3 linked regions of the Kluyveromyces lactis genome follow. The protein of the gene in region 2 interacts with the protein of the main gene of each other region in a pairwise test. Links are inferred from orthologs where the notes say so. Each region holds a gene or a part of one and is shown on either strand. Other genes may lie near its edges. The genes, in order: ARP6, VPS71 and HTZ1.

What was found.
Region 1: the proteins of VPS71 (region 2) and ARP6 interact in binary tests that used the Saccharomyces cerevisiae proteins (3 or more experiments, as listed by UniProt). The link is inferred for Kluyveromyces lactis from reciprocal best matches to the Saccharomyces cerevisiae genes VPS71 and ARP6.
Region 3: the proteins of VPS71 (region 2) and HTZ1 interact in binary tests that used the Saccharomyces cerevisiae proteins (3 or more experiments, as listed by UniProt). The link is inferred for Kluyveromyces lactis from reciprocal best matches to the Saccharomyces cerevisiae genes VPS71 and HTZ1.

What each region holds. Positions count from the first base shown.
Region 1 is NC_006042.1:1,755,946-1,759,164, reverse strand, and holds ARP6 (Arp6p), read left to right. Parts: upstream 1-1,388; coding exon 1,389-2,636; downstream 2,637-3,219. Other genes in the region: condensin subunit SMC4, read right to left, coding at 1-1,054. UniProt on the Saccharomyces cerevisiae protein: Component of the SWR1 complex which mediates the ATP-dependent exchange of histone H2A for the H2A variant HZT1 leading to transcriptional regulation of selected genes by chromatin remodeling. Involved in chromosome stability.
Region 2 is NC_006037.1:191,056-193,806, reverse strand, and holds VPS71 (Vps71p), read right to left. Parts: upstream 1,315-2,751; coding exon 565-1,314; downstream 1-564. Other genes in the region: STE14 (protein-S-isoprenylcysteine carboxyl O-methyltransferase), read right to left, coding at 1-184; carnitine O-acetyltransferase CAT2, read right to left, coding at 1,642-2,751. UniProt on the Saccharomyces cerevisiae protein: Participates in the catalytic exchange of histone H2A for the H2A variant HZT1, an euchromatin-specific factor, leading to chromatin remodeling and changes in transcription of targeted genes. Indirectly involved in vacuolar protein sorting.
Region 3 is NC_006039.1:522,465-524,953, reverse strand, and holds HTZ1 (histone H2AZ), read left to right. Parts: upstream 1-1,560; coding exon 1,561-1,959; downstream 1,960-2,489. Other genes in the region: PLB3 (lysophospholipase), read right to left, coding at 1-186; KLLA0_C05896g (OPA3 family protein), read right to left, coding at 2,404-2,489. UniProt on the Saccharomyces cerevisiae protein: Variant histone H2A which can replace H2A in some nucleosomes. Nucleosomes wrap and compact DNA into chromatin, limiting DNA accessibility to the cellular machineries which require DNA as a template.

The sequences.
Region 1 (3,219 bases), on a different chromosome or scaffold from region 2:
CAAGAAATTCCAGTGCTTCTTCTTTGCCAGATTCAAGATTCTGCTTCTCTTTATCTACCAATTCGAACCTATTTTCTTTCTCCATGCAAACCTCATTCAAAGTTTCTATCTCTTCTAGACACTTCTCGATTTGCGGTTTGAATTTAGCTGTGCCAATTATATCTTCCAAATATTCCAAAAGTCCATCATCGTTGTCCTTTTCAGCCTTGGCCTTCATCTGGGCAATCGATTCCACTTCACCTTGAAGAATCAAGAATCTTTTATGGTCCAAATCAATTCCTTCCTCTTTTAAAAGTCTTGTTACTTCAGTATAATTACTCTCTTTCCCGTTAACATAGTACTTTGAAGAGTTGTTTTTGAATGCTCTTCTTTCAACCACCATTGTACCAGCCGATGGAAGAATCTTGGTTTCACCATTATCTGTATCATGAACGTAATGAAAATGAATTTGGACAGAACAGGATGCCAGACTCGGGAACTGCTCAGATTTGTGAATTAACTCGGAGAGTTTCCCTTGCCTCATTTTATTGGCTCTAAAACCGAAGACAAAAAGCATTGAATCGATAACATTAGATTTTCCTGATCCATTAGGACCAACAACTGCAGAAAATGATGTGTGGAATGGTCCAATCTCTTGAATACCAGCATACGACTTGAAATTATTCAAAACCAATTTATCAATGCATAATCGCTGTGAGGTCTGAGTATTGGCCTCGTGCATCTTTTGTAATTCAAGTCGTGTACTTTTTTTGGGTGAAAGTCTGATCAATTCAAGCTTTCTTGTCGGAGATCTAGTAGGTGATCGCGTAGGAGACCTAGGCGGAGACTGACTGTATTCGCGCCCTCGTACAGCATGTGCCGTAGGAGGTTGCAGACTCGGTGGATCCATTGTATTAGAAGCGGCAGTAGTAGCCTGTGAATTAGAGACGGCATATTTTTTTTCAGGTGAGCCCAAAACCAACTTCCTTGGCGTCCTTGTTGGCGATTGTGATACTCTTTGCCTCTTTATTTCTGGTGAGTCTCCCAGATGCGGCACAGAACTGTCTGCAGTCATATCAATCAAGCTATAGTGCAGCTACAGGAGGCAACCAGAATAATAGCTTTACAGGTCGAGGTGCTCGTTGGCTGTGGTGGTTTGCCATCGCCATCGCCATCATGATAGAATATTAAAAGTTCTTTGGTTTACATCATGATTGTTTGGTAAACAAACAATCTTTTCAAAACATGAAATTTGAAAAATAACAAAAAGGAAATGAAGAAAAATTGTAGCACTACTACAGAAAAACACAGGCAATCTGCATGCGCGCTTCTTTGAATGTCCTGATGATTTGCCAAATTGGCTATATGGGATAATTTAATGGGAATAATATAATCATACATCTATTAAAATGAGTGAGCCTGTATTGGTGATCGATAACGGATCGTATGAAATCAAATTTGGTGAGAGTGGATGGGATCAGCCACTGCGAGCGTTAAACTGCTTAACCAAGGACAAATACTCTCGCTTCCACCTTTCAAATCAAACGAAGAAAATGCGGGATATATCGCAGGCTTTAATAAGAAGGCCTCACGAATTGGGTCAACTTGTATCATGGGAATTAGAAAGTGAAGTATGGGATTACTGTTTTTACAACGAGGACGACTTCCATTGGAACTTGACACACGACAATGACACTAAAGATCATCATTTAGTAGTAAGTGAGACGCTCATGACGATACCAGAGCTTTCGAAAAACATGGACCAGGTAATATTCGAAGAATATGATTTCAAATCTATGTTCAAAGGACCTGTAGCACAATATATTCCTTTTTACCAGGGTCAATATCAAGATGACGCAATGACCGCTGCTGAAGACAAGAAAACTAGTTCATACAAGGACTTCCAATTAGTTATAGACTCGGGGTTTAACTGCACATGGGCTGTTCCTATAATAAAGGGAGTACCGTATTACAAAGCTATCAAGAAACTCGACATCGGTGGCAGATTTTTAACAGGCCTATTACAGGAAACCATTTCGTTTAGGCATTACAATGTGATGGAAGAGACAATACTTGTAAATAACATCAAGGAGCAATGTACTTTTGTTCCCCCTGAATCATATTTTTCAAGTTTCCACAACAAAATGAACACAAAGGTCGAGTATGTACTACCGGACTTCCAAACGAGTTTCTTGGGGTACGTTAAGAAACCAGGTAAAGAAAAGCTCACGGATGATGCACAGACCTTATTACTCACAGATGAAGTCTTCTCGGTACCAGAAACGTTCTTTCATCCTGAAATTGCACAGATTTTAAAACCAGGAATCGTCGAAACAATTCTAGAATGCATCAACATGTGTCCCGAAGTCGTCAGACCATTACTTGTTGCCAATATAGTATGCACCGGAGGCAATTTTAACATTCCAAACTTCCACGAGCGATTACAAACAGAATTACAAAGACAATGTCCGATAGACTGGAGCTGCAAAGTACATTCACCCCAGGAAAAGGACAAATCTCTACACGGATGGGAAAGCATGAAAGACTTTGCCAACTCGGATCAGTTCCGCTCAGCAAGGGTCACAAGAGAAGAATATCTAGAACACGGGCTCGATTGGTGCACCAAGAACAGATTTGGCTACCAACAGTGGTTGTAACCATGTGATCGCAACCACGGCTTTCGTGTATATAGAGTATATATGCATAGGTTCAATTTCACAAACGCTCACGTGATATCAAATGAAACTGCTACTGCTACGGTATTATTTTTTAGTAGCGGAAATTCAAATCCGGGTAAAAAAACTATGATCCCCTCCTGCCTCTATGAAGTACCCCTATATTTCACATACGGAGAAACCACACATACTCATATACACAAAAACAAGACAACTTGATGGAGCAAAGCTCAGGAGGGTAGAGTATCTGCAATGCGCTCATTACAGGTCGCTTCTCGAGTGTTCTTTAGTACTCTCTCACATGCAACGCGCTTTGCACAATTGTTCCGAACTTCCGTAATCCTCTGAATTCCCATGATTGCTCTATTTGGCTTCGGAAAGAAATAAGGAAGAAAGCCAAGAAAAAGAAAAAAGATAAAGCTTGTTTAGAAAGAGCTGTGAAAGGAAAGCTTATTACGTATTTTTTGATATATTAAGGTAAATGTTACACAGAGACAATCTATTCTTTTACTTATAGTTAGAAATCGCAATCGGTTATATAAAAGCACAGGGCTAAATGGTTTAG
Region 2 (2,751 bases):
TCATGTATATGTTGAAGTTCCAAAAAGGAGACAGGCATAATGTAATAAGGGATACACCAAAAATCACTCCTAGCATAAATGCCGTTAAAGATATCTCGTCCAATTCGTTCTTTTGTATATTAGGAAATGTTTTCCCATCAATAATCACAAGAACATCCTCACTTTCATCATCTCTGCTCGACATAACTTCCGCACCTCTCAATCCACGCCAATACCTTCACTGATTTCAACTAGAATAGCTCAGAATAAAAACCAAAAACCAGCGTGAAGGATTCTTCAAGGTCTGATATATTAATGGAATATGATGCGTACTGCTAAATACCAACAGCAAGGAGTTCAAATAGTGTCTTGTTCGATAACAAATAGTTAAGTTAAAGTCTTCTCTTTCATCGGTATTAAAATTGTTTAAAGTGAAAGAATGAAAAAAAAAAGATAATGGCCTCGATTTTATACTATAATCAGTATTTACAAAGACATCAACATGAAGCAACAAACACGGGATCATGAGCAGTGTTTTGAGGTTCAAAGAGAGTAGCTGTTAAGTTTTTTCAGCTAGCAGCAAACTCAGTTGTTACATCTTGTTTCACTGTGTAATTCATAACAGCGAAGACTGCATATCTTGTCATTGCAAACAACGCAGTTAGATATACTGGAGTAACCACCACACATAGAGCAGGTGACGATCATTGGTAAGACCCTGAAAAACTTCTTGTTTTGAACGTTACTATAAATGAGTGTGTGGTTCACTTGGTCTAAAGTTTCTAGATAGGAGTGTAAAGACCTTCTGCTTGAAAGTACTTTCCTTAGTGCTGATATTCTGTTGGAACTTTTCTTTGATTTCCGAGGCGGCTTGCTTGATTTATACAATAAATTCATAGACTTGGGCAAATCGAACTTGGCCATCCTCTGTCTGGATGAACCTGAGCCTGATTGTTGCTCAGATAATATACCGGTGCTTGTTTGATCGATCTTATCTTTGTTCAGCCCCGTGATGTTACTGAGAAGAGTTGTAACTTCACGAAGATCTTGATAGTTTTCTGTGTCAAGTTCCATGAACCGCTTATTAGATCGTAACAAATCAGGCAAGGCATGCTTATCAGATCCTGTCAGTTGATTTATGTCGTCTTTATCGCTTCCCTTGGGCTGATTATATATCTTTGCCTCCAAATCAGCCAATGAATAATTGACTCTCTTGTTTCTTGCTGAGGTTTGAGACTGTTTCGAGACCCTTGCACTTTGATGAGTTTGGTTCAAACTGCTGAAATAAATGTTAGGATTATACGTCCTCACATTGATTTCTTCTACCGACCTCATATTGACACTCTTCGCACGCTTCTTCCTTCTTTTATCCAGTGATAAAGTGTCTTCCTCGGTATACTCACTATGATAAGGTCGATTTTAAATTTCTTTGCCATATTCTCATTTGATATATAATATGGTAGATATGCGAACAACAGTAACTGAAGGGAGAGAAAAGATGTCAATCATTGGGTAAGATAGGCCGTTAACGTATGGTTGATGATGGTACCAATTGTTGCCAGTGCATCCTTGTTCAGTAATTCATAATAGATCATAAAGTGGTTAGAATATCATATATAATGGACTCGTACTAAAACAATATAAACTGGTGCCTGTGCTATATCATAGTTTGGCCTTGGCAGAGTTGTGTAGAGACAAAGTTTCATACATTTCATCTGCCGCCTTAGTTAAATAATAGTGTAGTTCGTCAACACTAAATCCAGAAGCTTCTGGTTTGTTGGTGATATTAATGTGCAAAAATTCGTTATTGATCATATAGGCTAAGCCAAATCCATTATCGTATACTTGAGACCAACCGTAACATTCAAAGTTTTCAGAGGATAATTGTGAAGTTGAAATCAACCAAGTAGAACTGTATTTGAACAATGCGTCTTGGAACAAAGGTACTGGCTCATCAGATTCATGAACCATGTTTTTCAACCCAAAGAAATGGCGATCAACGGCTTCACCGTTAGAGGCCATCTTCAAATATTCAACATGATCCTTGGCAGCATCGTAGAAAGCAGCAATTTTCTCTTCAGTAGTAGAAGTAGGTGATTCCCATGTTTTAACGAACTTGGAAGAGGATTCAGTGACCGGTCTACCAGTTTCAGTTCTACCTTGGAAAAACGCTCTGGTAGAAGCAGCTTCGTACGTTGGTAGTTGTTTCTTCAAATACTTGAAAACAGCAAGTTGAATCACCTGTTGAATGTAAGCATCTGGTGACACTTTAAATGTTTTCACAATTCTCTTACCATACCTATTATAGTGCCAAACGCGTAAATCTTCACGTTCCACTGTTGTTATAAATTGCAATTTTGCACTCTCGATAGTATTTCTCAAGGTTGGTGTAATTATAAATGGTAGATGTTCACTGTTCACAGAAGGGTAAGCTGATACGTTGGAATGTAAGGACTCGACGAACGCTGAAGGATTCAATTTTGTTAATTGATCCACGACGTAATGGTTTAAAAACAAAGTTGGAGTACCATCCATTTTCGAATGTTCTGCCAAGAAACCGGAGAAACCGTTACCAGTAACAAAAAATTGCAAAGGCTTGTCAAAGAATCTATTGGTTCCGTCTCCGTGCCAGCACACTCTAGACTTATCTTCCAAAGTTATTGGAGCAGTGTCCTGATCCAAACATAAGACGAATGAGGATTTGTGGATGGTTTCTAAAGAGGAGGAAGATACTGGTTCTAATTGCAATTGTTGATAAGCGCCAGCCCATTC
Region 3 (2,489 bases), on a different chromosome or scaffold from region 2:
AACTTTCAACCAATCCGCTTCATCATCTGAAACAGCATCAGCTTTTCTAACCAAGTTTATATTCTCATCACAATCGACCACACCAGGAGCGTAACCATTTGTCGGAGACCATGCGTTAACGGCATCTAGATGTAGGGCAACCGAACATACCAGAAACAACAGATTAACTGAGTTCAAAAACCACATCAGAAAAGGAATAAACTAATCTTTAACTCGGAACAATTCTATAGATAACCTAACTCAGAGTTGATGTCTGCGCCCTTCACGATAATACTATGTACAGAAGTGACACACTCCAAAAGATTCAATAAAATAATCGTTTGATTTTACCGAGTGTGGACTTTCTATCGTAAAAGCTGATTGTTTAACTGCTTTAAGTTATGGACTTGGAAATCAACTTAATTGGGTCGAGTTAGGACTCAAGATGTAGATGAGAGAAACGGTAGCATTGTTATATATTCACCAGGTTCCATAGTTTATTGATTTATGACAAAATATTAGCTGAGCATTTAAACTTCTATATTTTCCACTTTTCTTCACGCAAAGTGTGTAGGATTGTTATAGTTAGAATTCATCACGCATGCCCGCAAAAAAATGTCTAAAAAAACGCACGGAAAATACAATCTATGTATTACCATAGTAACGACGCACCTAAGAAATGGTACAAGTGCATTATTATCAAAGGGTTTCCAAAAATTTTGTTAAGTAAATGCCCTTCCCCCTATAATAGACGCTGCATGAAGCCCCTATTAGTTGGAGGAAAGGAGGTAAAAGAGGCTGGCAATACAGACAAATTTTCGGATGCACGTACAAAAATTGGAACATTAGTCTAACTGAAAATGCTCAGTTGTCAAGCATTCACTTTAAAGCCCTTTTACTATTCCATTCGAAAAACGAATTCCGGCCCTCATTTAAAATTAAAGGGGACACACAGTGAAAATACCATCATTGCAGTAACACCACTACCATATGTTCTTCGAAATGAGCCGGAACGTTTCTTAAATCCATCAGTGGCTCCTACGCTCTTTAAGGGTACAAGGTTGCAAGCATCTCGAGTTCATAAATAGTTACCCTGCCATGCTGTCTCGTCTGAGGGAAAAGGAAAAAAAAAACAACCGGTAGAATAGCAGGCGGCAAAAAAAAAAAAATCAAGAAAGCGGCAAACTGCACTTCAAAGCTAGACCAATCAAACCGTATGTTCACCTTTGACAACTCCAGACATGTCGATGCCTGTATATCTTCATTATTTCAAATACCTTCGTCCCTCCCGGTTCTTCCTAGCCCTTACCCCAAATCTTATTACTTGTAGCAAATCTCACAATATGAAAGTAAGAGAGGAAACACGAAACTTTCAGACAGAAAAATAAAAATAAAAAATAAACATCAAAACAAACAAAAACAAATCGATATCAACTTAACTTAACTTAACTTCACATAAGTTGAATATTGGACCAGAGGGACTAAGAAAAGATAGAATCTGCTGTTTGCTTTCAAGTTTGAGATATATACGATCAGACATTGCAAGAAAGAGCATATTAAAGTTATTATAGGAGAAACAACATGTCAGGAAAAGTACACGGTGGAAAGGGTAAGTCGGGAGCCAAAGACAGTGGTTCATTGAAATCACAATCACATTCTGCTAGAGCTGGTCTTCAGTTTCCGGTTGGGAGAGTGAAGCGTTATTTGAAGAGAAATGCTGCTGGAAGAACCCGTGTTGGGTCCAAGGCTGCTATTTACTTGACTGCTGTTCTTGAGTATTTGACTGCTGAAGTTTTGGAATTGGCTGGTAACGCTGCTAAAGATTTGAAGGTGAAGAGAATTACCCCAAGACATTTACAACTTGCTATCAGAGGTGATGATGAATTAGACTCCTTGATCAGAGCCACTATCGCTTCTGGTGGTGTTCTACCTCATATCAACAAGGCTTTGTTGTTGAAAGTGGAAAAGAAGCATAAATGAAGCGTGAAAATTGTATCAATTTGAATGAAGTTTAATGAGACTAAGCGCTTAAAAACAGCTCTCTATTGTTATTTCATTATTATATTTCTTCTACTTTTTGACTCTAACTGTAATCATATCCCAGGGTGAAGGGTTGTATATTTTCATCTCCACTTCCCCCCCCTCTCTTTTCCCTTGTCGTGATGGTACACTACTAATTCACCGCATTATCTTATCTCAAAATATCAAAAGTGCAATTTAACCCTCATCTATTCCATTTCCATATTTTTATTAAACAGTTATGTATATGTAACATCTATAATCCAATTCCTACTTTTACTCATGACCTGTTAATATTAGAGCTTGTGTTTACGTCTATACTCAAATACTTATTCATTCCAGAATAGGACTATATACAAGTTTGTTCCGTTAGAATATCGGTGGTCCAATATCCTTTTTGTATTTTCATTTATGTGAGGAGAGTTTTGACTGAATTAATTTTAGTTCTTCCTTAAGACTTTGACATGATTTTATTTGGTCGCTTTGGGTCT